3 linked regions of the Nothobranchius furzeri genome follow. The protein of the gene in region 3 interacts with the protein of the main gene of each other region in a pairwise test. Links are inferred from orthologs where the notes say so. Each region holds a gene or a part of one and is shown on either strand. Other genes may lie near its edges. The genes, in order: mxd1, mxd4 and mlx.

Evidence for each region.
Region 1: the proteins of mlx (region 3) and mxd1 interact in a two-hybrid assay, tested with the Homo sapiens proteins (2 studies listed by BioGRID and IntAct). The link is inferred for Nothobranchius furzeri from reciprocal best matches to the Homo sapiens genes MLX and MXD1.
Region 2: the proteins of mlx (region 3) and mxd4 interact in a two-hybrid assay, tested with the Homo sapiens proteins (2 studies listed by BioGRID). The link is inferred for Nothobranchius furzeri from reciprocal best matches to the Homo sapiens genes MLX and MXD4.

Annotation. Positions count from the first base shown.
Region 1 is NC_091757.1:29,112,143-29,122,525, forward strand, and holds the start of mxd1 (max dimerization protein 1), read left to right. Parts: upstream 1-4,942; 5' UTR 4,943-5,058; coding exon 5,059-5,083; intron 5,084-5,482; coding exon 5,483-5,527; intron 5,528-6,203; exon of another isoform or gene 6,204-6,984; coding exon of another isoform or gene 6,985-7,051; intron 7,052-7,454; exon of another isoform or gene 7,455-7,512; intron 7,513-7,616; coding exon 7,617-7,716; intron 7,717-10,383. Other genes in the region: snrnp27 (U4/U6.U5 small nuclear ribonucleoprotein 27 kDa protein), read left to right, coding at 3,066-3,198, 3,673-3,788, 3,899-3,978, 4,243-4,307, 4,621-4,675. UniProt on the Homo sapiens protein: Component of a transcriptional repressor complex together with MAX. In complex with MAX binds to the core DNA sequence 5'-CAC[GA]TG-3'. Antagonizes MYC transcriptional activity by competing with MYC for MAX binding.
Region 2 is NC_091746.1:81,011,531-81,022,237, reverse strand, and holds the start of mxd4 (max dimerization protein 4), read left to right. Parts: upstream 1-4,211; 5' UTR 4,212-4,416; coding exon 4,417-4,480; intron 4,481-4,911; coding exon 4,912-5,011; intron 5,012-10,707. UniProt on the Homo sapiens protein: Transcriptional repressor. Binds with MAX to form a sequence-specific DNA-binding protein complex which recognizes the core sequence 5'-CAC[GA]TG-3'.
Region 3 is NC_091745.1:7,586,330-7,596,952, reverse strand, and holds mlx (max-like protein X), read left to right. Parts: upstream 1-5,322; 5' UTR 5,323-5,395; coding exon 5,396-5,422; intron 5,423-6,156; exon of another isoform or gene 6,157-6,224; coding exon of another isoform or gene 6,225-6,236; coding exon 6,237-6,273; intron 6,274-6,399; coding exon 6,400-6,489; intron 6,490-7,045; coding exon 7,046-7,155; intron 7,156-7,250; coding exon 7,251-7,353; intron 7,354-8,372; coding exon 8,373-8,472; intron 8,473-9,219; coding exon 9,220-9,421; intron 9,422-9,505; coding exon 9,506-9,562; 3' UTR 9,563-9,786; downstream 9,787-10,623. Other genes in the region: fmnl1a (formin-like protein 1), read right to left, coding at 4,067-4,252. UniProt on the Homo sapiens protein: Transcription regulator. Forms a sequence-specific DNA-binding protein complex with MAD1, MAD4, MNT, WBSCR14 and MLXIP which recognizes the core sequence 5'-CACGTG-3'. The TCFL4-MAD1, TCFL4-MAD4, TCFL4-WBSCR14 complexes are transcriptional repressors.

The sequences.
Region 1 (10,383 bases), on a different chromosome or scaffold from region 3:
AAATCAAATTATCATATTGTTTTCATCAGTTTTGAATCACTAAGAGAGTCACATCAAATATTTTCTCACATCTTCTCGTAATTAATAATAATAATAATGCATTGAACTTATATAGCGCTTTTCTAGACACCCAAAGACGCTTTCACAAACTCTCACATTCACACACACTGCTAGTGATGGTGAGCTACTTGTAGCCACAGCCGCCCTGGGGAGGTCTGACAGAGGCGAGACTGCCATTTGGCGCCGTCGGCCCCTCTGACCACCACTAACACAGGCAAGTTGGGTGAAGTGTCTTGCCCAAGGACACAACAGCAGGATACCCCTGGCGGGAGCTGGAATCTAACCCATGACCCTCCGATCATGAGGCAGCCCGCTCTACCACCTGAGCTACTGCTGCCCCAATTAGGTTCCAAGCCCAAAGGGCAGGGAACCCTGTTGTGTTTGTACGGATTTTTCATTATTTTTCAGTATTATTCTTCTCCGCTAAATCCGTATGGGCGCAGGAGCCAGAAAAAAATCGGACATGGCAGTCTGATAGAAAATCCCTACCTACTCGGATTCAAAAATTCAAACCCGAAACACCTAGGTGGCGCTATTGCGTAGATCAAATAACTCCCTGCAGTCAATAACTTTATATGTGCGCCTCTACTACCCTCCAAGGCGCCAGGTGGGGGACGGGCGCAGGTTGGCTTAGAACCCGTTGATAACTGCTCACAGTTCTAGTTCTTGATGTTTTAACTATTTTAATTTTTAATCTTGTTTAGTTGCCCATGAATTTAAAGAAAGGACAAAAAAAAAAAAGAAATAAAAGTATCTTGTATAGAGCCTCTCAAGATAAAAATCACAAGCTGCTTCACAAGAACAAAAACATTTTCTAAAAAATGATTTAAAATATGGTTAAAAATGAAGGGGAAAAATAATTGTGAATAAAAAATGTGAGAAAATGAATAGGAAAGTGGGAAATTGGTGGATCCTGGGAAAGGCGGAGTTGGTAGAGCAGAACATGGAGAGGGTGGTGATGAAGGTCACACAAAAGCCAGCCTGAACAGGTGAGTTTTCAGCTGCTTTTTAAAGGAGACCACTGAGTCCACTGATCTCAGGCTCAGGGGGAAAGAGGTCCAGAGTCTGGGGGCCACAGCAGCAGATGATCTGTCACCTTTGGTCTTTAGCCTGGTGCTGCACAACCAGCAGGCTTTGATCACTGGACCTCAGGGACCTGCTGGGGGTGTAGGGACTAAGAAGATCACCAATGTAAGATGGTGCTTGTCCATGTAAGGCCCTATAGACCAGAACCAGGATCTTGAAATGAACCCTGAAGTTGACTGGCAGCCAGTGAAGCTGGAGGAGAAGCGGGGTGATGTGGGTGTGTTTGGAGGACTTGGTCAGAAGCCGAGCACAGGCATTCTGAACCACCTGCAGACGGTTCAGGGAGGTTCTGCTCAGACACGTGAAAAGAGAGTTACAGTAGTCTAAGCGTGAGGAGATGGAGCGGAGAACAGTCTCAATATAACAAGATGCTTATGATGGGATGCACAAAATAAGCTTAGACTTCAACTAATTCCTATTTAGAATAAACTAATTTATCCCTGATAACTGGACGATTAACTATTAAAATTGCAAATTAAAATAAAGCCATTCCTTCATGTCACTTATAAACAAGGATTTTCATCTACAGCATAAAGGCTTTCATGCAGTACTAAATCAGGGAAAGTTTCCCCTTTCAAAAGTAGTGTAGATAGTTCAAAAGTCATTATACCTTCATAGCTACAACACGTGGTTTTTTTGTGCATCTCAATAACAAAACCTGTACTTTTCATAAGAGTTAAGTTTTTACCCAGAATCTAACAACAAAACACAGAAGGATGCTGAAATTTTAATTTATTTAACACATTGTAAAATAACTGGAACAGTTTTTGTGAACAATCATTTGCTTAAACATATAAAGTTGAGTAAAAATGAGAACTCGGAGGAGTGGTGGTGGTGGTGGGGGGGGGGGGGGGGGATTTCCACATGCAAGAGCTCCGAAGGTAGTCCTGCTGACAACTGTGGAGATGTAAGAAAACCAGTTATTAGTGAGATAAATGGGAAAGAAATGCTCTGGAGAAAATAGTCCTTTTGATTCCAGCTGCACCCCTTCACAGAAGTGATGTGTGAAAAATCCAGTCATCCAGCTATCTGGAGCAGTGATTTCCAATGCTGGTCCTCTGTGGCAGCTATCCTGCATGATTTAGACGTTTCTCTGATCCAACACAACATGCATTCTGTAGAGCCTGAGGCCTGCAGTACAGGTGAAAGAAGCAATGGCTCAGGTGTGGTGGAGCAACTCAGACATTCAAGATAGGGACCCCTGTGGACGCTGGTCAGACCCCACTGATCTAAAGTTACTGAATGACCACATCTGTCTTAGTTCTGCATCAGTGACACAGACGTTTGGCTTCAACTGTAAAAAGTGGTTATGAAGACATAAAATAGTCTTTTTGTTGGACTAGCATCAAATCAGTTGTTGAAGTATTTCAGTAATTTAGTCTTCCTTATACTTGTGTGTGTGTGTGTATGTGTGTGTGTGTGTGTGTGTGTGTGTGTGTGTGTGTGTGTGTGTGTGTGTGTGTGTGTGTGTGTGTGTGTGTGTGTGTGTGTGTGTGTGTGTGTGTGTGTGTGTGTGTTCTACAGAATTTATTTAATAATAATGCATTGAACTTATATAGCGCTTTTCTAGACACCCAAAGACGCTTTCACACACTCTCACATTCACACACTGCTAGTGATGGTAAGCTACTTGTAGCCACAGCTGCCCTGGGGCGGTCTGACCGAGTCGAGGCTGCCATTTGGCGCCGTCGGCCCCTCTGACCACCACTAACACAGGCAAGTTGGGTGAAGTGTCTTGCCCAAGGACACAACAGCAGGATACCCCTGGCGGGAGCTGGAATCTAACCCATGACCCTCCGATCATGAGGCAACCCGCTCTACCACCTGAGCTACTGCTGCCCCTTTACAACATGACTATACTGGCAAGGGACATCATTTGTTATTTAGTTAACATTCTGATTTCATGACCTACGCATCAGAGAGAAGACGATCTCGCTCTACTTCACGTGAGCATGAGCGAAGGCGGAGGGAGAGGGACCGCTCTCGCTCTAGAGATCGGGAGCGAGACCGACGCAGATCTCGTTCACGTTCTCCACACAGGAGGCGTTCAAGGTGAGTTTTTGTCCCCCTGATAAAAAGCAACATGCACACATACAAGTGAAACTCAGAGGATTAGAATATGGAGCAAAAGTTTGTTAATCTCACTAATTCAACTTAAAAGGTGAAACTAATCTATGAGACAGTCATTCCATGCAAATCCAGATGTTTCAGCCTTTATTTGTTGATGAAACCCCCCATTCAAAATCTCAGATGATTAGAATATTGTGAAAAGGATCAATGTTCTAGACTCAAGTTGTCGCACTCTGATCAGCTGATGAATCCAGAACAGCAAAAGGTTCCTGAGCCTTTAGATGGTCTCTCAGTCTGAGCTGGATTACTGACATGAATGGACTTTTGCACCAGATTCTCATTTTCCTGTTTTAGCCTGTAGACATGAACCCTTCTATCCTTTCTTAGACAATAATGTTTCCTTCCTCAGTTGTTGTGATCCTTTGTCCTGCAGCCGTCTTTATGCTCTTTGGACAGGTCTCCCCCTAGGCGCCACCGCTCTTCCTCGTCGTCTCCCATGAGACAGAAGGACAGACGTGATGATGAGCGCAAAGAAGTGAAAGACAAGTCTTCAAAGCCCATCCAGATCTCAGGTTTTGTGTTGCTGATTGTTTTCAGAAAGAAATCCTTTGTTCAGTTTGCTGGACATTTATAAACGTCTTTAAACAATGAGTTAAATCAGATATTCTTTCTGTTTTTACAGCAGAGGACATGCAGGGCAAAACGGAGGAGGAAATTGAAATGATGAAGTTAATGGGATTTTCTTCATTTGATTCTTCTAAAGTGAGTGAAAAATGTGTGCATGCAGCCACCAGGTGGCGCTGTGTTCCTGAGTTGTGGCCATTCACCACGACGGCTTCATGCTTGCTGATACTTCGCAGTTTTAAGACTGTTTGACATTCAGAAAACGACACAAGACAGGAAGTGCACCATCAGCCACTGTCTAGTAGCGTTTGCTGATTGATGAACTGTAAATGTAATAGACCACATCAGGATAGCATCTGCAGCATGTATTTCTGTTTGTGATTGAACATTGTTTTCCCACAGGGGAAGAAAACAGATGGATCAGTTAATGCATTTGCCATCAACGTTAGCATGAAGAGAAAGTACAGGTACGTTCACAGAGAAAAATATCAAGTTAGCCTGCAAATACTGAAGTTTAGCGGTGTCATGGAGAATTTTGTGCATAGCACATTAAGCAGAGCGACTTTTAAAATGATTGTTGAAGCAGCTAATTTTTAATAAACAAAGTTTTATCCTGTTGGGAAATTGGCATTACAAGCAGCAACCACTATTAAAGTAGCCAATCACGTCAGCAGGTGTCTCTCTGCAGAGAATCCTGCTCTCCTATTGACTCTTGATGATGTAATCTGCAAGTGTTGAGAGGGAAGTTGTGATGCACTGTTGTTCTAAATGTTTTTACAGGCAGTACATGAACAGAAAGGGAGGATTCAACAGGCCGCTGGATTTCATCGCTTGAAAATGTCACGCTGCATTTCCTCCTTTTTCCAGCAAGGGGAGGACATGGATTACATGCTGTTAAATGTGATGCAGCAGTTCTGTGTATATATTATCACTCAACATGTAGTTGTTCCTTCAGTTATTTAGTTTTTGTTGCTGTGCTTTTTACGTGTTGTTGGAAATAAACTCTTTGAAATTGATGGTGTGCTGATTATGTAGAGCATGTGTTTCTTTTTCTGCCCAGATCTGCACAAACATGTCAATTTGTGTTGATGTATTTGAGGAGTCGTCACTAGTACCAGAGACCAGGGAGCTTCGTCTAATCCAATGTCTCCTCTGGACAGAGATACCTGGGGTCGTTCCTGAGATCGGCTGGAGCCACTAGTCCAGTTGAAAACTCAAATGTGTCAAAAGATCTTCACATATTGTGAGTTTTCTGTAAATGTGAAAGTTTTTGTCAGATTACTGCAGCATCTCACAGTCCCACACATCTATGCAAAAGCGGAGCTTTAAAGATAGATTAAATAAAAGTTTAACTTTATTGAAGTTTCAAACAACAGAAGTGTGTGTTGTAAATGTTCTTGCATTTTTTATTTATTTTTTATTAGGGTTTGGATTTTTGGTGCATAAGAGTACCTGGAAGGTACTTTTCGTTGCACGAGAATGATAAAGGAGTTGTCTCGGTTTCTTTTCTTTTCTTTTTTTCTTTCTTTTTTTTTTTTTTTTTTTTTTTGTTTGTTTTGTTAACATATTTTTCGTCGTTTCACGTTGATTGCATTCAGGAACATTGTGTACTTTTTTTGAATGCGGGTCCGCTTCTTTTCAGTGTGCCGGCGAATGAACCTGGCGGAAGTGATGAGCGGCGACGGAGGTCAGTCAGATTGATTGAGCAGATTATTGCACTGCTAGAAATGTATACATATAAATTCTATTCAGATAGATTCCTGCATAAAACCTACTATGGTGGGCGTGTTGGACTCGTAACACTGCGTAAGCTCCGTCCACCCGGCGCGCTGGTACGTGCGTTGATATTTCAGTCTAGATGTTTTCACAGAGTAACAAGTTAATGTGTGTGTATGTGAGTAATAAAGTTTCTATTAAAAAGTTTGTGAAAGTGCGCTTGCGCGCACATTGCAGGTTGTGATAGGAAAAGTAAAGGGACTATCAAACCAATCGTAGAAGGAAGAAGTGAGGCAAACAACACCACGAGAGCCAATCACAGCCGTACACCACGAAACAGCATGGCAGGGAGGCGTGGCTTCTGTTAAAGGGACGTTGACATTTTCGTGAGCTCGTGGGCATCGGAGCCAATAGCTGACAAGTTTACCTGAAAACAGCCAATCACAGAACGTGAATTCAGTATTGAGAAAAGCCGTCCATTATGGCTCCCTAGTTGTTTACTGTCTAGTCCACAGACATCGGTCTAGTTCACTTAAGAACCAAAATGGCGTGGACGGTTATCAGTTGCAGTGTGGGTCGATCCCTTTGAGTCATTGATGTTTTAGACAGCCAATAAAAGCTGGAGTGGATATAGTCAACATCCAATCATGTGACAGCACACAGCGGCTTTGTGTTACAGTACAGTTGGGAGCTGCTATCCACATAAGCCTCTATTTTGGATGCACTTTGACAAATTTCCGCCGTTCTGTGTCAGTCGTTACATTCAGCTAGACGAGGCACGCGTTTTTAGTGATAACCAGTACATAACCAGCTAGCCAAAAAGTCTGGAACCAAAACGGCTGGATTGCATCGTCAAGATAATCCAGGAATTAGTTCATCTTTTTAAAATATTCCTGATTTCCGGCAAGTGCGTCCAGCCTAACAGCATCTTTTTGTTTTTTGGCTGATGACTTGAACCTAAAGTCGTTTGTAGTCAGTCGCTAACGTTTGCCAACTTTTTGTTGTTATTCCTAAAACTAGTCAGAAAATACTATCGATTTTTTGTTTCGTTTTTATCAACAGCCATCTGTATTTCTTGAAGAGAGATTCGTCTAACCAGTGATACTAAGTCACCCAAATCAAATGGTTTAAAGGTATAATCTTAGCTGTGGGGAAGTGTTAGCGTCTACCGTGGCTAAAAGGCTACCACCAAGCCTTTAAAGCTGTTTTTTTATATAGGAGAAACCAGTTTCGCTTTCCACGTCTTTTATCGGGACCTTTTATTTTAAAAATCGATTGATTGAAATCCTGCAGAAGCAACTCGAAAACAACATTTTAGAACAATAAGTGAGAACAACAGGGAACCCAAGAGTTCAGAAATAGAAGCGTGACTACAGTAACGGAATCCCTCGTTGGATTATTGTAATATTATTAGTGTTATTGTTGAAAATGGCGTCGATCGAAATGGTGCAGATGTTGATCGAAGCAGCAGAGTACCTCGATCGCAGGGAACGAGGTAAAGTATATTTTAATTCTAATTCTATGCTGTTAAAAAACAACACATTCCCACTTCGTTCATGTCTGCCCATTATCACGCTGATCGGGCTCTTTATGCGTCCGGCAAATAGGTTTTATATTCTTAAGTTGCACATCCTGTTCTTAACCCAGGTGTTCATCGTTGACTATGATGATGACAATAAATAGGATTTATAAAATATGAATGGTGCAGTGATTAACGTGCATTGTGCATCTTTTATGAAAGGAGAAATCATGCAAATGCTATTAAAAATATAGGAACACAATGTTTAGTTGCAAGCTCCTCCTTTCCTTCTGTTGTGGTTTGCTGGTAGGGTTTATCGTAGTTCAGGATGACATCATTGTCCAAGCTGTGAGGGTGGGTGGGGGGGCACTGTTTAAAGATACTGCATTATTAAATCCGTTCATTCCATGCATGCATCCCAGCATAACACATTGGATGTAAGATGATGCAGATGGGGATGTGTGCAACATCTCGTGTCTCCCACCCTGGCTATGTTTGCAGATAACAGGACATGTGACCACTGTTGTTTATTTGCTTGCAGAAGCTGAACACGGCTATGCCTCCATGCCACCCTTCATCAGCAGCAGAGAGAGGGAAAGCTTGAAAAGGAAAAGCAAAAGCAAGAAAAACACAAGTAGCAGGTAAAGGCATACTCAGCTTGTTGAATTGAAAACCTGGGGGGGTGCTGCACACAGCCAGGACGCTTGGGTTAAAGGGTTGACTCCTATCACGTTTAAAGAATAACCAAGGCTTTCATCCGATTTCACAGACAGCAGAAGACCCAGTAAATGCTCTATTATTGAGTTGCATTAACACGAGAACTTACAGCTCTGTTTTATCTTAAGTTCAGCTTTTATCGTGTTAAAGCGGCCCAGGCAGTCATCAGGTAAATGCAGTTTATCTTCTGATGGGAACTCATTTAGTCAGGTTACATACTAACATGATTAACACTTCCTCATATTGGATGCAGTGGATCTGACTGTTAATCATTAGCCTTGAGTTGAATTTGAAGTCGTCTGAACTCCAGTTTTCTAAATGCTTTCTGTGGCTCATTAAAAACTAGCAATAATTCTGCCCACTTTATTTCACTTCAGTTAAACAAAAGAGCATATTTTAAATGATAGAGCTACTACCTTAACCAGATTCTATTATTTTGGCACATATTTTATGTAACATGTAATATTTGAAAAGAGAAGAAGACCTATCCTCATGGCCTGAGTGTTTCTTGGTGCTTGGCTCTGTTGAAACTTCCTTATTTATTGCGTTTTGTTTTGTTTTGGTGCCGTTTCCTGTCTGACACCAGAAAGGTCTAATGTGATCTGTGTGAGTGACTGTGTGTTGTGTGAATATTATTTTTAGACTTTGTGTTGTGTTCTGTAAATTGAGTGACTGACAGCATCAAATATCAGTTTGGTTGAAAGTCAGTGGCCACTGGCGGAGGCGAAGTGGGTCAGCCAAGGTGACTGAACGAGACATTTTACTGGGAGGCTGGTCCTGGTGAAGCCACTCACCTTTATGGATGTTTGTGTATCCAGAGCTTGAAACCAGAAGAGTCGTTTTAGTCGGCACTCTGATGTGTGAGCGTTAGCTTGTTTGGTTAATGGTGGAAATACTACTTCTACTTTAAACACAGGCATAGACAGTCCAAGTCCACCCATCCATTTTCTCTGCTTATCCGGAGTCAGGTCGTGGGGGCAGCAGCCTAAGAAAAGAGGCCCCGGCTTCCCTCCCTCTAGCTACCTGGGCCAGCTCCTCCAGGGGAATCCCAAGAGCCTCTTTTGGAAAAGAATGGCGCTTATTTGCCCCAACGCCATGGCAGCATCAAGGATCTGTAGGTCGTTTATAAGCGGTCAGACCGTGGTGATAGTGTTGTGCAACTGTGTCCTTTTTGCAAAAGATTACACAACGGCAGTATAAGTATAAAGGGGATATGGGGGCGGTCTCTGAGCTGCCACGCTCACAAGCCAATCATAAAGGTTTCTGTCCCCCACAGTCCCCGTGCTGTCTCTGGTGATCGGAGCTCCAGCTCTAACGGAGAGAAGCTCCTGGAGCTCCGCGACGCTCCAGGTTATCATCTCAGCTGATTCTATTTACAAAAGCAAAACTTACGGCTCGTGTTTACTTTCTGTTACAATATAGTTGCCGGCCGGAGCTCTGCAGTAACTTCCCATGTTATCATGACACCTCCCTTTGTTGTGCCAAGGTGAAATCTGCATCACTAGTCCGGTGTTGCGGTAAGATTACTACCAAGCATGGTGGAATGAATGTCGCCAAATTCCTTCAGTGCCATGCTGCCATGGCGTGTTCATAAGACACACTGTCCAGCAGTAGTATGCTGATTTTCTGGCACAGTGTATCTTCTAAAAGGAGCTAAGGCATTCCCTGGTCAGTTTAAAGACATAGTCCCTCCAGTGTGTCTTGGGTCTTCCTTTAGGTCTCCTCCCAGTTGGACGTGCCCGGAAACCTCACCAGGGAGGCATCCTAACTAGATGCCCGAGCCACCTCAACTGGCTCCTCTTGATGTGGAGGAGCAGCGGATCTACTCCGAGCCCCTCCCAGACCAGGCTTCTCACCCTATCTCTAAGGGAGAGCCCAGCCCAGCCGGCTGCTTGTATTTGTGATCGTGTTCTTTCTGTCACTACCCAGAGCATGTGGCCATAAGAGAGGGTAGGAACGTAGATCAACTGGTAAATCGAAGCTTTGGCGTCTGGCTCAGCTCTCTTCACTGCGACAGATCAGTACAATGCCTGCATCACCAGGTTTCAAGCACCGATCCGTCTGTTGATCTCACGCTCCATCCTTCCCTGACTCGTGAACGTAACCTCCAGAGACACATAAACCCCTCCACTTGGGTCAGGACCTCATCCCCAACCATCTAGGGGTTTGTTTAATTTGTAGCACAAGAGTTTTTAGGCTAAGCTGTGTTGTTTAAAAACAAGTGAACCAACTTTATTCACACAGTGCTTCTGTTACAGCTGCGTTAGTTTACATTGTGATGTATAGACTAACTTCTTTTAAGTCATGTGTTCACGTAAAGATCACGAGATGTTTGAGCTAGCAGCCGAGTCTCCTGTTTCAGGTGTGTTCAAGTGCTGACTCTGGCAACGAGGAGGCGCAGCAGGAGAACCTGCTGTCTCTGCCAATGCTCAACTCGTCAGCTGCAGAGAAACCTTGTTGGGGTCCTCCTCGCTCACCAGTAAATAACCCTGTTCATAGTAAAGGGTGAACTTCACTGGTGCTCTCGTTGTCGAAACCCAGGAACTGCAGACCGATAAGCTGCCGGGTGTTTAAACGGAGGATTAATTCTC
Region 2 (10,707 bases), on a different chromosome or scaffold from region 3:
AAAACTCTGTTGATTTGTTTATTAAGATGGCGACTTCACGTTTCTTGTTTGTTCTTGCTAGCGTAGCCGACAAACAGAGCTAAAACACTTTGCTTTACAAACATTATTCTCATGTCATGTTGTGTTTTCATATATTTATACTTTAAAGACATGTCTGTGAAAAGTTCATCAACTCTGCATCAGCCGAGGTACCTCCTTAAATTTGAAAGCGGTAGTCTAACGCTATTGGTTAGTTCTGGTCGCCACTCAGTTTCCTACTGCACAGAGCTCTGCGGGGCGGTGGGCGTGTTTAGTGAAAAGAAATTAAATAAAGACATATTGCTTACATTATATCAGTACATGATGAGGTAATCACTTTTATGGATTTGTGAAAAATCATAGATAATTTCTGAAAGGGGAAAACTCTGGAAAGCTACTTTAAGGCTTGTGCTATTTGTGGAGATAAAACATCAATGTTGCAGAACGACTCAGGTCAGTAACGTCGCATTATTAGCCAATCAGAGGTGTGGTCCCCCCCCCCCCCCCAGCTAACAACTACTTCCTGAAACAGGAGCGCCAGAGCTTTTTTTCCACAGAGAACAACTCGCATTTATATCACTGACCACTGCAGATTGAATGAGTGAATGACAGCTTTGACCCATCCAAATTAGAGATGGCTGCCAAAATATAAAAGTGGCTTTACCTCAGCCAGTTTGTCTCGTACTGGGGTTGAATTTGGTATCACAAGTTATTTCAGGCACAAACCCTAACTGCTAAAAGTTCATGTAAAGCCTTGATAGTTTTTGTGAGATTGCACATGTTGCTTTTTTTCAAGATTTAACAAATTGATTGTAATGCCATCTTTTCTCAACATAAAGATTATGATCTTTGTGCTAGGCTCTTAAACCGAGATGCTTCAATATAAATACTCAACAGAATTGTGCTTTTATTATGCACCAATTATATAAATTAATTCTTACCTGGTTGAAAAGAGCATATTAGTACAAAAAAAAGTAAAAAAATAATATGTACTTAGAAATGGACATGAAATCCAATTTGATCCTCTCAATATTCAATATTTGAGCACCTTTTATTAAAATAACTGTTCAGTTATTGTGAGTTTTCCTAAAGTCAAAATGACTAAAGAGTAAAAGTGGTATGTAACGTGACTCTTGATGGCCTGATGCTATCAAAGTCAAAAAGAGAAAAGGATGAAGAGGTTGAAATTAACAACAAAGCTGTTTCCAGTTTCACTGCTGACTAAAAACCTACAATATGCTGTAGTATTTAATTGCTCATGTGGAAACATAAAAATGTCAATTTAGTCTTTGAAAATATTTTAACATTTGAATAAATACCAAACATGCATAAAAGCCCCCCAGTGTTGATTTTATGACCTACATTTATCAAACTGTGGTAATACTCGTCTCATCAGAGGAGATCTGATAACTGTTGGGAGCAGTTTGTGGCGTGTGTCACCTTGTTTGCATTAGATGGACGACAGACAAAAGAAAAGAAAAGAAAAGAACAGAAAGCATTTGGATGCACGGGCCTGAGGCGATGTGGTGGACGAGGCCTGAGCCACTCTGAACAGAGTGCATGCAGATGATAAGTCTATAAATAGAAAAATGAAACAGGAGGGACAAAAGCTATTTCCTTTCAAATGATGTAAACATTTGACTGCAACGCACCAGCTAAATCCATGTCAAAAGTATGAGATCTTGTTTAATTGCGATATGAAAAAAATCCTAAACACATTTCATCAAAATTGAGATTTTTCATCTTCTACTCAATGGTGGGAGATGTTCCAAATTTTAAAAATGCAGCAAAAATAAATGCAAAGCACCACCAAGAGAACGTGCTGTGTATTGAACAACAAATGTCAGGTTTAGAACCAGTTAGAGTTTTGGTGCACATTATTTAGCAAGTGGCAAAAAAACACATCTTTCCACTGAAGTCAGCTTCAGCAGGAGTAGAAACGGGACTTCTAATACAGAAGTCAGGCTGATAAATGTTTGCCTACGTAAAAACGCTCTTTTCTCTACGGCACTGGCGAACAAATGAAGAACACGGAGAACACACGGCTCAAAAGAGTCCGTCTCCATGTGGCTTCTTAAACCAATATCCCCACAGATGTGGGCTCATGATAAAAAGGGTTCACGTTTCACAACTTTTCTGTAATTACGCTGAAAGGACAGTTATGATGTATGGCTTTAATATGATATCCGGCTCAACTAGAAGAAATGCATGCTGCAGCTTAGCTGTTGTGAAACAATAGCATTTTACAGCATGAGCAACTAAATTCTCACTATGACTCCACAATAGCGGCACAATGTGAAACAAGGGGGTTGTGAGGATGATCTGGTGTTTCATTTATTGCGTTTTTACACCACTACAAAGGCAGAAGGGTGAATAACATCAGCCCTAGTTGAATACGTCATCAGATAGACAAGCTGAACATGCATGAGAGGAATATTTCTCTCACTCGCAAGCTAGCCCAACAAGAGCTAAATATTACAGCATCACATGTATTACAGCACTTTGCATTATGTTGCAATAAAACCTTCAAATAGCTCATGAGTGTAATTCAGTGTTGTTGTTACACTGAACTTAAGTCATGCAAAATACAGACAGATATGAAAGTGCTTGACTCGCAGCAGAATGGGGTTAATGCATTATGACTTGAAATCGGTGAACCAAACACCAGCTTGATTTTAGATCAAAAATCACCCGCATCCGATGACTGCAGGGTTGAATGGACTGAAAGCATTTCTACTGAAAGCTGAGTTACTGTATTTATATAAAAGTTAACATTTAACAACACGATCATCAACAGGATTTTCATAAAAGTCTGCAAAGCATTGCTATAAATTAGTTGTTGGTGTGGCTTCAGCTTCACACATTTTTGGTCCTCATCCAGTCTGCTCATCACACCTGTAAATTTGCTGACTTTAACAAAACCGACAGCCACATTTGAAATAATTCTGTCTGTGGTAAAAGACCCCAAAGTAAGCACAACACAAACATTAATTATGTTACTGGTCTTCGGGGTCCTTTTTCTCATCATTTGCATTGAAAGTCATTTCCTCAATGTGATGCCTTCAGAATGCAGTCCAGCAAACATCTGGCTGCTAGCATTACAAACTGCCTGCCATGCACAACAAACCACATTTGCACGCCCCTGTTGAGCTACTCATAACTCTTCCTATGCTTCAGCAGCTTTGACACTCTGCCCAAGCTCACTTGGCGCTGGACATGATGGGTCATCCCACTTTCAAATGAACCTCAAGTTCTGGATCCACAGCCGCAATTACAGACTCCAGACCAGTCACACGATCTGAACTTCATTTGGATGAGATCAATGAATTTAGATTGAAGGGGGGTGGATTTGCAATAAAATGGATGGCATTCAACAAAATGTTTAGGTCATCCTTCGAGATTCAGCCTTTGCTATTCATGTCATTTCACAATTTCTAATCTAATTAAACATTGAAATTTAGTATAAAAAAATATATATATATAATCTAAAAATAATGGCCATAATTTAGCACATTCTGCCAAACTCTTAGAATCTTCATTTTGTCTCTTTAAATGTAGATATATGGTGTTTATAAAATTGTTTAATTGTGAAAATACATTTAAAAGCCTTTTATTTTGAAGTACACACTTGATTAGCTCTAGTTATTATTACACTTGACAGGTGCTTAAATAAACTACATCATTTTCAACTTTCTTTACTGTGTATTTCTTAATACCAAGCTAACGAGTGTGTTGCCATATTGTATCTTCACATCAGAAATTCTCATCTCAGTTTCTAGCAGGACTTTCATAATGACATGGACAGGAAATGAGCACCAAAACACGAACACCGCATGCTAGCAGGTCTGTTATACCACACGCTCCTATGAGAAATAGGACCAGACGTCTTGTTGACTGAAAGAGTGCAGTTTACTTCACCACTAGAATGAAAAGAAAAAAAAACACCATACTTTGGGAACTTTATCTCATTTGGCAACCAAACCACCCCAAGTTCAAGAAAATGCACGCCCAGAGTCGCTTCCAGCCAATCATATGCGTCCTTCATGTGTAAAACCAATCAGCTTCAAGATAGGTGTGGCGCTGAAGCTGTTGCTAGGGCATGTCCCCAATGACTTCAGACAGTTTAGCCAATCAAATAGCAGCAAAGAGCTTCATTGGTGAGGACACACCTGGGACCGGCGGAGAGCCTTTTCTGATTGGATAAAGTCACGATCACTCAACTTCCTGAGTTCAGGAGCTTTATTGTAGTTTGGAGTCGCTAAGACTCAGAAGTGAACGTAGCAGCGCACATACATCGCTCTGAAACAGTTTATTTTTTACATTTTCATTCCATTATCCTATGAATTGTTTATTTGTGTAAATAGATTTTTCTATTTTTATGACGAGACATCAAAGAAGATGGAACTTAATTCTCTTTTAATTCTGCTGGAGGCTGCAGAGTATTTGGAGAGACGAGACAGAGGTAAAGGTAAAGCTGGGCTGACAGCGTTTATAGATTATTTTCTGTAGCTGTTGGGTTTAGGAGGAAGGGGTTTGAGTTGATGTTTGGGGTTTAACAACATCCACAGTGCAGGTATGATGTCACTTTTCCCTTTCAGTGGGGCACAGACCAGGCGATGGGTACATCCTGGACTCAGCAGCTTTATGCTTCAGAATAATCACAGATTAAATTTTTTATATATATATTCTACGTTTTTCTTTTTTGGGTAGATTTATTTTTTTCTAAACACACGTTTTTTGTGCTTTTAATATGCCTTATAAAATATCTGAAAAATGTGGTTGTTTAGCCTTGATGTATTTCCTATTTATTCACTCACTTTCCCCGCTTTTATGGCTTATTTATTTATCAGTTTATTTCCCCCCTTGTGATTTATTTTTGCTTTGTGTCAACAGAGGCAGAGCACGGCTATGCGTCGGTTTTACCCTACAGCAACGACTATTCCCGAAAGAAAACAAAACCTACGACAATTTCCAGAAAATCTCCGAACAACAGGTAAAATTCACCCCATTCTTTGTGTGTTTACACTCGTGACAGCTCGTGCAAACCCTCCTATATGCAGACACTTACACATATGCAGTAGTACATAAAGTGCTTTGGTGTCTGAGCTGGTCTGGGATCGGTGTTTTGGTCTCTCCAATCAACAGTGCCACGCGTACACTGTCAACTCTGCTGCCTCTGCTCAGTTTCTGTTGCTGTTAGCCTCCCCATGCCAAGAGGAGGGGCACACACACACACACACACACACACACACACACACACACACACACACACACACACACACACACACACACACACACACACACACACACACACACACTTTACCATTCTAAACTAAGCTTACGCCTACTTGAAAGCCCTAAATGTCATTTTTTATTTTATTTCTTCATGTGGTGTTTTGTTTGGTGTCTTGTTGCTAAATGCAAGTCCTGCAGAAGATGAAACAAAGAGAAGGGGTTCGCATTTCAGAAACTGCAATCCCTTTTCCCCACACACCCAGAGAGACCATGAAGGCCTCATTGTTGCTCGATCAAAACAGCAGCTTCTCACCCGTGAGGCTTTCACGGACCTGCTGCTTCTGCCCATTACAGGCGGATATTGAGGAGCCACGTCATTACGTAACATAAAGAGCAGGTTTCAGTTTTGGTTTTCTGATTTCAGACCTGCTGGACCTGTTAAACATCAACAGCTTTTATCTACTCTTTTAAAGAGACAATGTGTAGTTTTTACTGTTTATCTCTAGAAATATCCATCCAAACGTAGTGGAAAAAGAATTCAATGTTGAAAAATATTGGCAGCTTTGTAACATAACCATGACAATCTAGTCTGAAAATACACGGTGGTGGGTCTAAGTTTCTGGGCAACGCCATTTTAGACACCTCTGTCTTTGGGAGCTCGTGAAGACAAAACACATCTACTTATTTGTCACAAACGGTTTTTAAAACTTTCGCCGTTCATAAATGTTGTTTTACACATTTACCTCTTCACTCGTTGCCTGTGATGAAAGGGAGTATGATGTGTTTGTCATTTTGCTGGAGGTTGTGCTCCCAGGGATTTTTGACCCTAATGGCTATCCATTGGTAAGGTCTCACTCGAACACAAAAATATCAGATGCTTGCAACGATTTAGGCAAGTACCGCCCCCTATCGCCAGGGAAACACACGCAGTCACTTGAAACTTTAAAACATTGAACTTGGGATAGACCGATAGATCGAGACGATATTTACCATTTTTGATACGTCACATCTGCCGATAAACCGCTTTAGTAATGCCGATTTAAAGTCGGGCACATTCTTGGGCAGTCTGGTGCTGCCGCAGGGTTTTATTTGAATGTACGTTTACGTTCTTGAAAACATCTGCTTAGTCAATGTTCAACTGACGTTTCTTTATGTTTACCGTATTTTTTGTATTTATTACTTGATCCGTTCGTCGATTTGTTTGATTACCTTTGGGTAAATGTTGGTTCTTATACTGCGCCGTGTACAAAATCAAGATCCAAGAGCTGGTTCGATTCTGACATTCAAGACTGATCACGTTCAGAAATGTTGTGCTTCCACTTTTAATGGTGACATTTTAGCATGCAGACACGGTGGAGAACAACTAGATTTTGGCCACAAAAATCGGCAGCACATATCGGCCATCGGCTCATCTTGATTTCTACATATCGGTATCAGCATTAGAAAAAGCCATCTAGGTTAATCTCTATTTAGAACTGTTACATTTAGGTTTTATATGTTTTTGTAACATTTTCAACCTGATTCATGTTTCTGTTGATTCTTTGAAATCATAACTTGCCAGTGTGAGCTGGCCCCTACTTAATTTATGTTTTATTTAAAAAAACACCTAATCTAGATTTGATAAACTGCACAATTTACTCAAAATAGATGTGGCGCGATATTTTACTCACCTTTTGACTCACTTTTAATTCACTGTAATTGCTAAAAACAGAATTGAGACAATAGGTGGACCGTCCCGTTTCTGTGTCACGAATGGATGGTGTGAGACGCGCCCTGAGCAGGCATCCTATCCGAGGTTACACGCAAGCTCCCATTCAGGCTGATCTAGTCCAGGTGTGCCGTATGGATCCTCTCTGTACATCAAATGACCCGGTGATTCAGAGGAAAACAGTTTGAGCGTGAATGACGTTGGCTTAACCAGGTAGGAGGTGGGAGGACGGTGGGTGTAGAAGTGAAAAGGGTCGTCCTAAATAAGAACGCAGCACTTTCCACGTTCGTTTTTCACTCTAACAAGGGGATATGTTTGTTTATTACATACGAGTGTGTGTGTGTGTGTGTGTGGATGTGCCCGCAGGGCGTGGTGGCCAAAACACACACCTGTGCCACGGGGCAAACACCCACCCACTTGATTTATTTTCTTCCTGGTGTTTTCGTGACCAGCCTGTTGGCAAACATCACAACCCTATTTGTGTTTACCTGCAGCTTTTTTTGTAGACATGGACAGGATGCTTGAGGTTAGTGGTGACGGACGGTGAAGGAAAAACGTTTTCTCATACTTTAACTCAGGTTTTCTTTTTTATAACTAGAACTTTTTCTCAAAGAGTCATTTTGATGCTAAAATCTGCAGCTTTCCTGACACTAAAATGACTTGGAACGCAGTTGCTGTTTGCTTCAAAATAAATGGAATAAAAAAATAAAACCGCTAGTAAAGATGCTGCTGAGTTTCTCCTCAATTAGTTCCTTTTCCTCTGGCCTTTCCTCTTTTGTTTTGCATGTCACATAATGATCCTTTACATAACAGGCAGAGGTGTGTGTTCACCTCGCGTTGCCGTGGATCCGTGCGGATTCCCTTCCTCTGGATGGTTTCCTGGTCGTGCCTTGTGCTTCGACTGTGACATGTCCCCTGCTTGTGCTAGTTTGAATACCAACTTTCTTCATGATGGAGCTGAGCTCCGTTTTAGCTCATGGGCGGTGTGAAATTCTGCGTTCCTTCCAGGGTGATTTTTGTGCCGCTGTAAAACAGCGTTGTCCCTCAGATGCTGGGGCCCTTTTCCTCGGCGCAGCTGTGGGAAAACCACTGCTTCGCCAGCACAAGAGCTCTCAAACAGCGGAGAGTCTGAAAAGGCTTGTTGTCCGTCTGGCTCTTTGTTGTTCCTGTTTTTGTTTTTATTGCCGTGGTATCCATGACGGTCTCATGAACGGAGGGCCTGTTTCAGGCGGACAGCGTGTCATAATAGGGGCTGTCCTCGGAATAGCCCACACGCTGAGGAATTCTGCTGAGCGTCTGAGCCTCCAGACGTCTGAGAGTGTTTTTATTCTGTCCTCTCTGCTGCCGCCCGGCCAGCGTGCAGCAGCAGGGCTGTTTTTCCTGGAGGAGGGCTGTTGTGCGGCGTCACACATTCAGCTCTCACCCAAGACTATTTTTGCTCTTCCTGGACGTGCAGAACTGGGAAGAATTTCAAAACATCAGGCTCAAAATACAGAAGTGTTTGTGAGAATTTTGGATTTGCAGGTGTCTGGAACCGGTCTCAAACCTTTCTCACATCAGTTTCCAAAAAAAAAAAAAGAGTTGCAGACTAGGGCAGCACGATATTAGGAAAACCTGCGATTTTAAATAACAATGATTAATATTGCGATGATATTACTTGCGATAAAGAAAAACTTAACTCGGGAACAAAAATAATCAAAAACAAAGAAATAAACAAATCATAAAAATGAGAAAAGCAAAAGATGTGAAGAAAGGGAAAAAGAAAATGAACAAGAAAAGGCAATCAGCGGATCCCGGGATCAGCAGAATCAGCAGAACAAAGCTGAGTCAGGTGTTTGCTACCCATCAGAATGAAGGGCCGTCCGCCTCGGGGGCGGGCATCTAACTTATGAGAACACACCCAATTGGCCAAACGGGTGAAGAGCTCTATTTGATTAGTTAAAACATCCTCCTGTTTGATCGACAGAATGCATTATGTTTAGCAAACATTTGAGCTGACCATTCATTTCGATATTGATCTGTTCTTTGCGATATGCATATTTTGCATGCTGATATCGTGATAATGACATATTTACGATATATTGTGCAGCCCTATTTCAGACGTATTTAGTGAATGACATCTGCACAAATTTGTTCTTTCATCACGATTCTGCGTCTAATTGGCTAGATACTCGCCTCTTTCTGAGCAATTTAGTCTTTATATTAGGGATGCACGGTACATTGGCATCATTATCGGTATTGGCCGATGTTAGTCATTTTTTAACATATCGGTATAGGTCAGTGTTGGTCATTTTATAGAGAGAAAGCAAGTCATGCTTGCTGTTATGGACGATAACAGATATTTCCCAAAATAAATATAAATGTGTATATTTCAGGAAATATCTTTTATCGCCGATAACTGCAATATTAATATAGAATAGAATTAAACTTTATTGTCATTGCACATGTACAGGTACAGGGCAACGAAATGCAGTTTGCATCCATCCAGAAGTGCTTTAGCCGTGATATAGATGTATTACAATATATATTAGCAATAATGTAGATGTGTAAGTATATTACAGAATGGATCTATTACGTATGTTATAATGCACACGGTATGAAGTATGTTATGAATATGCTATGACTATAAGTATCTACAGGCTGTAGTTAATACAAGCAGTCCATGAGTTTAACGTGGGTCTTATGTCAGGAGGCAGAGTTCAGGAGTCTGACAGCTGTTGGGAAGAAACTGTTCCGGTACCCGGTGGTCTTGGTATACTATGATATCAGATATCAGTATCGGCCCAAAATTTCTTATCGTTGCATCCCTACTTTACAATTCACATTTAGTGTCACAAACACACAAGTCAGGTCTGTAAGTTGTGTAGGAAAGCCAAAGGGCACAAAACAGAAGTGAAATATGAGAGAGTAGCTTGATATGGAGATGCATTTGTAAGGTCTGCTTTACTGGCAGGTGGCAATGGATTGTTTTAAAGGGCAGGTTCACTGACAAACATTTTGTTTTACTCATCATCTTTGAAAAAGATCAGTGACTCTAAGTTTAACGTGCAAGTTGAATGCTTAAGTAGTGTTCTGCCCCTGTTTCCTGCATTAGCATCTGATGGAAAAAAGACACTCGGTTCAGAAAATCCTGACAGATCTACGTCACTGTGTCATTTAACACTCATGGACTCACTCATCTTGGATCACGCCGAAAATCGCTGTTGTTGGTTTAACGTCAGGAAACAGCAGGGAACGTCTTGAGTAGTTGAAGCTAACCGTTAGCATCCACCACACAGCATAAATCTTTCAGGCCTGTGTTATTTGTGGAGTTAAAACATCAACATTGCAAAACAAAAAGAGTCAGTGGTAGAGTCCAGTTGGGTTTAGCCAATCAGAGGCAAGATGTCCAAACATCAGGAAATAAGACTCCAAATCCGGCCATCTTAAGTCACTTTCTCCCCCAGCGGACTTCTACATCTTTAAGCAGGTGCACCGGAGCTTTGTTTTCCCCAGAGAACAACTTGCAAGGCATTCATTCCTACTGGAGACCGTGTTAAATAGGAAAAGGCTGATCTTTACTGGGTCATAAATCATCAGATGTTCCAGATTGTGTTCACAACAAGATGCTAAACTTATGTGTGTATTATAAAGAAATAAATCATATTGAGCTCATTTCTTCTTCCTCCGAGCCGCTGACATGATTCCAACGTTGTTTTGAAACACGCCCTCGCTCTGTGAGGTTTAATGAGCGTGAGGCTAAACGA
Region 3 (10,623 bases):
CCTAATGTGCCTTAAATATAGTTCATGCATTAAATATACCTAATACATTAAGTATACCTAATGCGTTACATATCCTAATGTATTTAATATACCTAATGTATTAAATAAACCTAATGTGCCTTAAATATAGTTAATGCATTAAATATACCTAATATGTTAAGTATACCTAATGTGTTAAGTATACCTAATGCGTTCAGTATACCTAATGCATTAAATATACCTAATGTGTTAATTATACCTAATGCAGGGTTTATCCCAGCGCTTTATAAGCCCAGACCAAGCTCCCCCCCCCCCCCCCCCCCCCACCACCACCACCACCACCACCACCACCACAGTCACAGACGAGGCACGGTAGGAAAACAACCCGCTGTCACAGAGTAGTGGAACTATCATTGCGCAGCCCAGAAAACTTCACCAAGGGAGGTATCTTGACCAGATGCCCGAGCCACCTCAATTGGCTCCTCTTGATGTGGAGGAGCAGCGGATCTACTCTGATCCCCTCCCAGATGACCAAGCTTCTCCCTCTATCTTTAAGGGAGAGCTCAGACACCCAGCAGAGAAAACTCTCAAATTTCAGCCGCTTGTATCCGCGATCTTGTTCTCTCGGTCACTACCCAAAGCTTGTGACCATAGGTGAGGGTAGGAACGTAGATTGATCGGTAAATCGAGAGCTTTTCCTTCTGGCTCAGCTCTCTCTTCACCACGACAGATCTGTACAACGCTTGCATCACTGCAGACGCAGCACCAATCCACCTATTGATCTCGTGCTCCCTCTTTCCTTCTCTCGTGAACAAGAGCCTAAAATACTTAAACTCCTCCACTTGGGGCAGGACCACATCCCTGACCCAGAAAAGGCATTCTACCCTTTTCTGAATCAAGACCATGGTCTCAGATTTAGAGGATCTGATTCTCATCCCAGCTGCTTCACATTTGGCTGTGAACCGCTCCAGTGAAAGCCGGAAATCACGTTATGAAGCCAACAAGACCACATCATCTGCAAATCCACCAATCTGCTCCTCTACCTCTATATGGGCGTTCCTCAAGGGTCGATACTGGGCCAAAACTTATTCAAAATCTATATTAATAACATTGTTCATGCTGTTGACAGTGCTCATATACATTTAGATGCAGATGACACAATTTTATATGCATGCAGTTCTACCTTGAATGCAGCTCTGTCCTCCTTGCAACACAACTTTAATTGTCTTCAACATGCCTTCTCCAACCTTCATCTCCATTTAAACACAAGTAAAACAAAGTCCAGGATCTTCAACTGTAACTTACTGCAATCAACTTGCCACCCTATTGTTTCCCTGGATGGTACAACAGAACTACAGCTTGTCAGTTCTTATAAGTATCTGGGTACCTGGCTTGACAGACACTTTCATTTGACATTTATATGAATTCATTACTTTCTGAAGTCAAGTCAAGAATTAGGTTTCTATACCACAACATCCTTCACTCCCTCTGCAGAGCAATCCTTGGTCTGAATGACAATCCTTTCCATCTTAGATTACGGTGACATCATTTATAGGACTGCTTCCAAAAAACGTCTTCATAAACTCGATGTCATTTATCACTTAGTAGTCCGTCTCGTCACTGGTGACTCTTTTACTACTCATCATTGTTATCTGTACTCTCTCGTTAACTAGACATCACTCCATTCCTGCAGGTTGTTACATTGGTATCAGTTTATATACAAAACAATCATCGGTAGAACCGCATCATATCATCAGTCGTTACTCATCACATCCAACAACCAGTGTAATTTACGTTCCAGTAGCTTAATCTCCATGGTTATTCCCAAAGCTTGCACCTCCTTTAGCCTCTCCTCATTCCAGTTTTCTGCTCCCAACGACTGGAATGAGCTGCAAACATCATTGAAGCTCACTGCCTACATTTCATTATCTACCTTCAACAAGTCATTGCAATCAAAGTTTCTGATGAATGTTCCTGCTTCTGAGTTCTTAAAGACTGTTATAAAGCGACAGTGTGTATTTTTCCTGGCGATAGCGGGCAGTACATACCTAAATGAATGTAAGCAGACATTACTTTTGTGTTCAAGTAAGACCTTACCAACGGATGGCCATTTGGATCAAAAATCCCTGAGAGCACATCCTCCAGCAAAACAAGAACATCAAATTGTCTTTCATCACTGGCAATGGGTGAAGAGGTAAATGTGTAAAACAATGTTTGTGTATGGTGAAAGTTTTCTTACCATTTGTTACAAATCAGTAAATGTGTTTTGTCCTCGCGGGCTTCTGTAGAAGGAAACATGGCATCCAATATGGCATCGCCCAGAGACTTAGACCCACTCCCATGTATTTTAGAATGAATTCTATGGTTATATGTTATGAAACACCAATATTTTTGAACAACTGGGCATCTTTTAAATCATTTACAACAACATTTCGATTGATTTTTCCAGAGATTAATGGTAAAAACTACACATTGTCACTTTAAGTCTGTTTTTATTGCTTGTGTATTATATATGAGAACAGTCCTTTGTCTTTATGTCTAAGTGTTTTATTTTATTTTTATCTTGTATGTTTTTATCTTATCCTTTTTTTTCTTTGACGTAAAGCTAACTATTTGTCTATTGCTGTTGCCTCTTGGCCCGATAGTCATTGTATGACAATGAGTTCTCCATCGACTCATCTGGTTAAATAAAGGTTAAATAAATAAAATATACCTAATGTGTTAAATGTACCTAATCATTAGGTAAATATTACACATTAGGTCTTAAAGTATTAAATATACTTAAGGCATCACATCGTTTTTCCTCTACAAAGCGTGACAGAACCAGATGTAGGTGTGATCTTGTGGTGCAGACGTCCCTCACTAATGGGAAAAAGGCTGGTTCTGGTTCACGGATCGTTTTGTACCAGGTCACATGGAAGGCGTGTGAAAAATCTTTTAAAAATATACACATGTGAGTTTGATTGGGTTGTTATTATTGATCTGCAGGATGTTTTGTTTAGGTTACAGTGTGATGACCATAGAAGTGAATTGCATAATGATGACATTTGTCTCATATGTTTAGTGATTGACTGTTGTTTTGAGCTCTTTATCATGCTGCTATGATGTCATGTGTGACTACACCCCAACCCCTTCTAACCAGCGGAAATGCTGCGTCATTAAAAACAGATCCAAAATGCAAAAGAAGCTGGAGATCAGTAATGTGATCTTGTGTGATATTTGATTTGGGCAACAGTGTGTGACTGCAGGACAGTCGAGCATCTGATCTTATATCTCAAAAAAAAAATTAAGTCCTAAAAATGAGCAGCTCTGCAAAAAAACAGACATCCTCTTTATGTTTGCATCATCTTGTTGATCTCATGCAAATGAGCCAAATCAGAACTTGGACCTAGACTTTCTCTGCATGACCCTTTAAAGAGAATGATGTTGTTATCTTTATTCATGTTGTTTCCCACATCTAGCCCTTCTGGGGCGTTTCAGGACAAACTGTGAGTTTGTTTTGGTTTTGATGAAACTGACAAATAAATAAATAATGAAATTAAAGGGTGATCTTTTGTTTCAAACATTCAGCTTTTGTTTGTTACTAGAATAAACAAAGATAAATATTGAAGTAAATCTAAATAAAAGAACATTTTTGTTTCCTGACAAAGAAAAGCTGCAGGAGTTCTGCTTTTGTAGACTGCTGGGAGGATGGTGAAACACTTGCTTTCCGGTCTTTCGCTCTTTCTTATAAATATGTTGCTCAACTTCCCCTTGAGCCCAGCTACACATGCATGCACTAATCTCCCTTCTCCTTACCTTGCCTTTTGAAATATTAGTTTAAAAAAAAAACACAATTGCTACCAAATAAAACTTTTAAACACCTGTTAAAAAACAGCCACATCATGTCTGGGATTTACTTGGTTAAAGCTGATTTTGGCAGCTGAATAGTAAAAATGGAGATTAGGCAGTCGCAACAATTGTTGCTTTTTCTTTTATTTATTTACATTTTTTTCTTTGCCTCTACGTCATCATTACCTGTGTGATTCCTGGAGTTCCTACTATAACATCTAATGGATTTCATGTGCAGCAAAAGAGTGAAACTCACCAGCACTGCCTTGAAGCGCTCCTCCAGCTCCTCCTCTGGGGGCATGGGAAGTTTTGGGGGAGCCGGCTGCTTCTTCTGCGGAGTTAGCGTGGGGTCACTCATTGTTGAAGCTGCCCCGACGGAGTTCCTGGCCTCTCTGCCCTCAGTCGGCTCATGCTCCGAGCCCCCTACAGCCACATTCCCCATCACTAATCTCCAAATGTAATCCAGGAGGAAAGCTGTACACAAACCCCTTCACCTAAAACAGAACCAATGTACTCCAAAGCAGAGTGACCAAAGCTGACCACTCCAAATGACAAGAAGCAAGTCTGAAACCGTCAAGGTGAGGAACTCCAAACTCTAATTCAAGGAATCCTCCTTTGTCCTGAGGAAAGGGTGGATGGTGAAAAAACAAGGTATGCATTCATGTTTGTCTCCTCATTAACATCTCTTGTCTACAGGTTTCTGTCAAAGTCAAACTCTTTGTTAGGGTCTGCTACGAGAAATACTCAATGCACCTACGTCGCACCACACTGGCTGACTGAGAACTCCTCTGCTTGCTGAAGAGGCCAGTATGTGAGAGGAAGGAGAATGTGACACACTCTGTCACACAGACAGAAACCACAGAAGCACAAAAGCAGAAGAGTAACTTCCTGTGTGTGACTGCAACAAAAACCTGGTGTTCAAGACAAGGTGAAAGATAACTGTCAGCACTTGATACAGAGCCCAACATGAAAAAAAAACTAACACAAGACTAAAAAAGCTGGGTGGTTTATGTTTAACAAATATTAATTAAAAATACCTTTGCCCTGAACCCAGAGTTTCTTGAGAGTAGCCGCTGCCAGATGTATGTTAGTCACATCTGTTTGGGTGTCTGATGATCTCAGGTCATGTCAATAAGGTAAAGACAGGTTTATACCATCAAACCAGGTAAAACAGCGTCCTCGTGCGTTCGAGGCTAGTTACTGCGTGTAGTTATGCTGCGTTTGAGGTCTCATGGCTGTTATCAGAAACTTATGTATCTAAATTTTGTAATTCAACAATATCAAATACTTTTTCGAGACAATATATGATAACATTTATTTATTTATTTATTTATTGTTACAGTTATTTTCAAGCACTCTCAATAACGTAGGAGTTTCATTTGTGTACTTTCTAAACCAGTTTGTTGCTAATATTAATAAACAGTTGATGGCTTGTGTCTGTGTTGCAACAACAGAAGTAAACGTGTTCAGCTTTTGAAACAATATTTTTGTCTCTGTGCTTTTAGTCCTCTAAGACTAGAAGAGAAAATAGGAATTCCCGGGTCACGTGAAGGCAGCAGCACTATTAGTTTTTTAGCGTTTCAAAATGACGGACCCAGAGGAACACTGGAAAGTAAGTCACAAAACCCAACTTTTTCAGCCCTTGGTTCGTATCTTTGCGTTTGTGAGTGTGGAGTAGAATGTGATCAACTGTTTTCTCAACGCTAAAGTTGGAACATGGCTTCAAAAGCTAGCTAACATTAGCTTGGTGACGTATTGTAGCAGTTAGCCAGCATGCTAGTTAAGTAAACAAAGCCTTGAAAACGGAATTGTTTTTCCATATCAAATGAAGTCGTTTAAAACATATATTTACATGCACAAACAGCCAAGGAAATATGGTTATTTAGAACTTTTTGGCGTATTCTTAAAATTAGTCTGAAAATACTTTTTGGGTGACAACAGCAGCTGTATACAAACTAATATGTTAATAATAAAATATAAAAAAAGGCACTGTGTATTTTTTCTTGTAAGTTGTTTAATAGTCGATTAACAGTATTTTAAATCATTTTTATCTTCAACCTTCAGAGCAATGTTTATACAGGACTAATCCTCACATGTCTGATTCTTTATTTGCTGAAGACTGACGAGGCCTTTGAGGAGTTTCTCCCCCAGAATCAGGAGGAAATCTAGGCTAACATACATAACTACATAAATAAAAACACGGACTGTTGTGTTGTGCTGCACTACATCAAACAGCAGATCTGTGATTGAAGCAATTTTATCTTCTGTTCTTGAATTGGACAAATCAGGACAGTGCTCAGTGGGGTTTGGATTGGCTTGCTGTTTGTGTTTTGTCGACATATTTAGGGCAGCACACATTTCCCCTCCTCAACCCAATCTCACAGCTTCTGGTTTCCTTTTTCTTCTTCTTGGTGATGGCTGGACAGACAGACGGGGCTTTCAGTGACAGTGGGTTTGACACAAGTGAGTCATTTTTACTTTTCTAATGAATGCTTTTTCATTTTCACATAGCACATGATTAATTAAATCATTTTTGTTAATGGTGGGTTTATTTTTAACCCTTTTTATAAAATCTGGGTTGTTTTCCAGGTTTCTTTGCTGAAACTGCTAGAAAGGGAAGCATTGTTTCCAGAGCCAACAGTATCGGCTCAACCAGTGCCTCTTCAGTACCAAATACAGGTATCGTGTTTAAAACACAGATGATTTTATCTTGCTGATAGTTTATAAGTGTGAACGTGCCTTTTGACTACTCCTTATCCTTAAAGAAAAGGTTGAAACAACAAATCACAGAGATGGTGCCTTTATTTATTTTGTTTCCTGTCTCACATTCAAACACAAACCTGTCTGGTGAGTCTTGATGGTATTTCGTCTCATGCTTTAAAATCTAGTCTGGGAAGGTGAACTTGCCATATTTAATAAATAAACTCTCTATGTTCTACCTTTTTGCATTTGCTAAAAATCCGTCTATAATTTGACCGGACTGAAGCAAACATATATTTGCTGCTGAAACAGAAACAGCCCTGTGTTATATTGTAGAAGGAGCCAACACAAAAATGATGCAAGTTTTCATTCGATTTTAAGATTTACAAAATTAAAAACATCCGTCCATTTTTTCTCATTTTAAACTTGATTTAAATAATTTCTGTTTTTAAACTGACACCAGATATGTAAGCAAGAAAATAATTGCAAATGAGTTCATTGAGAGTACAGATGTCAGAGGCTTGTTCCCAAACAGATGATGAAGACAGCGATTACAGGCACGAGACGTCATTTAAAGACTCCTTTAAAGATCGCCGGAGACAAGCACACACTCAAGCTGAGCAAAAGCGCAGAGATGCAATCAAGGTAGGACTTCAGGACTCCAACTGACACACTTTATAAGAGTTAGATTTAAAATTCTGGCTGTTTAAGAGTTAATATTGATTTCTATGTGTCATTAGAAAGGCTATGGTGACCTGCAGTCCATCGTTCCTACGTGCCAGCAGCAGTCTGAGTTTGCAGTTGGAGCCCAGAAGATCAGCAAGGCTACTGTTCTGCAGAAAAGTAGGAACCTTTTGCAATTTGAACATTTTTACACTGAACTGTTGGTAGAAAAAAAGAACTCTGTACAAACAATAATAAAACCTTTTAGTTATTTTAAAATGTGCAGGTTATGCGTGAGACATGATGAATAGCCCTCCCTGCTGCTGTTCTTCAACTTTATTAGCCATAAAATAACAAATCAGACACTGTTAATAGGCTGAGCAGTTTGCATATATTTAAAGTAAACCTCCAGCCGCTGCCTGGGGAGGCTCCGACTCGATCTCTTGATCAGGAATCATTCGGAATCAGGTGGGAAAGGACGTGACCTTTTACATTCATCCTTATACAAATTTTTAAACTGAATAACAATGGCTTAGGTTGAATTTGAACAAGTTCTGCTACGTCAATATTCTTTGTTTCATAGAGAGAAACGTCACAAAATTTACAGACGTGGAGTTCAGACACTATAACATGTAGCTGTTAGCTAGCAGGCTAACACAGAGCTAACGTGTCGCCGTCAAGATGGTTGCAAACGTCGGGTCTCCTGGAGCCGCGGTGAGTTTCCTTCTCGTCACACGCAGCTCTGCAGGTGTTGAGCAGAGAAAAGTGAGTCTGCCGACCGTGCACATCATGCCATGCACATCACTCAGCACGGCGACGAGGCACCTTATCTGTTATTAATAATATATTCATATTATTAACATACTTTTAATCAATTCACTTCTTGAACGAGTGATTTATTTGGCAAATAAATTAAGGAAATGACAAAAATACCAGAAGAAATAAAGATGAATAATAAAGAGGAGAACTTGGATGTATTCTTTTTTCTTATTTTAATTGCGTTGCTGAAGTATCGGATCGGGACACGGTATCAGCACATACTCGCAATCACATGACTGGGATCAGGAGAACATAAACGTTCTTGTTTAAACAAATGCTCATTTACAAAATGGAGAAGTTGTAACGACACCCCCACGTTTAAACTTCCGGTGTTGTAAAGAAGTCGCTGGTTGATGCTTTTCTGTATTTTATGGCTTTAGCTATCGACTACATCCATTTTCTTCACAAAGAAAAGAAGAAGCAAGAGGAGGAAGTTTCCATCCTGAGGAAAGAAGTGATGGCGCTTAAGATAATGAAAACGTAAGACGGGTTTTTATTGGACTATCTTTCTACCTGAGACTTGTGTAAACACATCCCAGTCCTGTCTGACCAGTGGTGTGGAGGACACATTAGGACCTCAGAAGTGACGAGCATGGACGGGGGCAAATGAGACTGATCCTCTAGGTCTGATCTGAGGCTTAAAGTGACAGTGTGTATTTTTCCTGGCGATAGGGGGCAGTAGATACCTGAATTGTTGCAATCAAGCTGTATTTTTGTGTTGGGAGTAAGACCTTACCAACAGATGCCCATTAGGGTCAAAAAGCCCTGGGGAGTGCAGACTTCAGCAAAATGACAAGCACATCAGACTCCCTTTCATCAGTGACAATGAGTAAAGAGGTAAACGTGTAAAACAACGTTTATGAACGGTGAAGTTTTAGTAAGCACTTGTTACAAATCAGTAATTGCATTTTGCCCTCAAGGGCTCCTGTAGCAGCCAGGAAACATGGCGTCTAATACGACTTAGACCCGCTCCCATGTAATGTAGACTGGACTTTTATGGTTACATGTTAAGAATCTGCCAATATTTTTCAACAACTGGGCACCATTTAATTTATTTTCAACAACATTTCGATGGATATTTCCAGAGATTAACGATAAAAACGGCACATTGTCCCTTTAAATACCTAGAAGTGTTAAAGGCAGTAAGGAAATTCAGTGGAACCATCTGGGATATTAAGAAAGGCAGGGTTTGTGGTGTTGTTCTGAACCTGCTGTCTTTCCCAACAGGAACTATGAGCACATAGTGAAGGCCCACCAGAACAACCCGCAGCAGGGAGAAGATCAGGTGTCTGACCAGGTCAAATTCAACCTTTTTCAGAACATCATGGACTCCCTGTTTGTGTCCTTCAGCAACTCGGTTTCAGTGAGCAGCTTCCAGGAACTGTCAGCCTGTGTTTTCAGCTGGATCGAGGAGCACTGCAAGCCACAGGTAAGGAACGCCACCGGCGCGTCCTTCTCAGCAAACCAGATCGCTCAGCTGAGATAATTTAGTGCTTTTTCTGCTCTGCCTCAGACGCTGCAGGAGTCTGTTGTCGGCGTGCTCCGGCAGCTCAACGGCCAGCTTTATTGATCGAGGAGAAGCCTCCGGCTAACTTCCAGAAAATGACTTTTGACTTGCTCTTGCCTCTCTGGATGGAGCAAACCCTTCAGGCCGTGCAGTATTCGCACGCGTCAGCCCATCGGTGACTCTGCGCCTGCGTGTTGATTACCTCATCGTGTTTTCTTAGCAGGAATTTAAAAAAAGCTGCCTTCAGCCACTTTCTGACCGTGTTTACATTCCCATAGAGCTGAGTGTAAAACACGAGAAAATTTCAACTTATGCTTTCAAACAGAAAAATGTTAGCACACATTTTAGCCTCATCGCTACAAAAATCTGACTTATTCCATTTATTTATACATGTGGTCCTTTTTTCCGGCGCAGCACGTCTGCCATTCCTGTCAACGGTCACTGCTCCAACGCTGAACGCAGCTTCTGTGGCGCCTCAGAGAAACACACTGGTGGTTTTAAAGTCCTCTGCCTTCAGTGTGGCGGTAAATAAATGGTTAGTTCCAAGAATGAGGCGGATAAATGTTGTAAATATGCCACAGGTCTCCAACAGGCTTTAGTGTTTAGTCACAGTTTAGCTGCAGGTGACCTGTCAAAAAGGTTCATTTAGCAGGTGTTGATTTTAATGAGCCTTCTTTGAATTTCAGCCCGATTTTAAATGCTGTCGTGTTTTCATGATCCGTGACGTCGCTCTGTGCTACAGTGAAAGCAGAAACTCTAAAATGCATCAGTTTGTTTTTTTTATTCCAAACCTCTGACTCTAGATTCTCTAGGATCAGCAGCAGATTTGAACGTTTTGTTCTTGTGGACATGATCTGCTGCGGAAGTCTGGCTCGTTTCATGTTCTAATATTTTTCTGTTTGAAATGTTTAAAAGGTTACGCACAGATAAAAACACACAGCCACTAAAGTCTCTCTAGTTTTTCCCGTAACGTCAAAACTGCACTCTTCCCTCTGCCCTGTTGTGTATATGTTCAGTGGACTGCTGCTGATGCTGTTTTGATGACATCGCATGGTGGCCGGTGGTGAATTAATCACCATCAGGAGAGAAACTTCAATTTATGGACTTAATATTTTATTTGCATA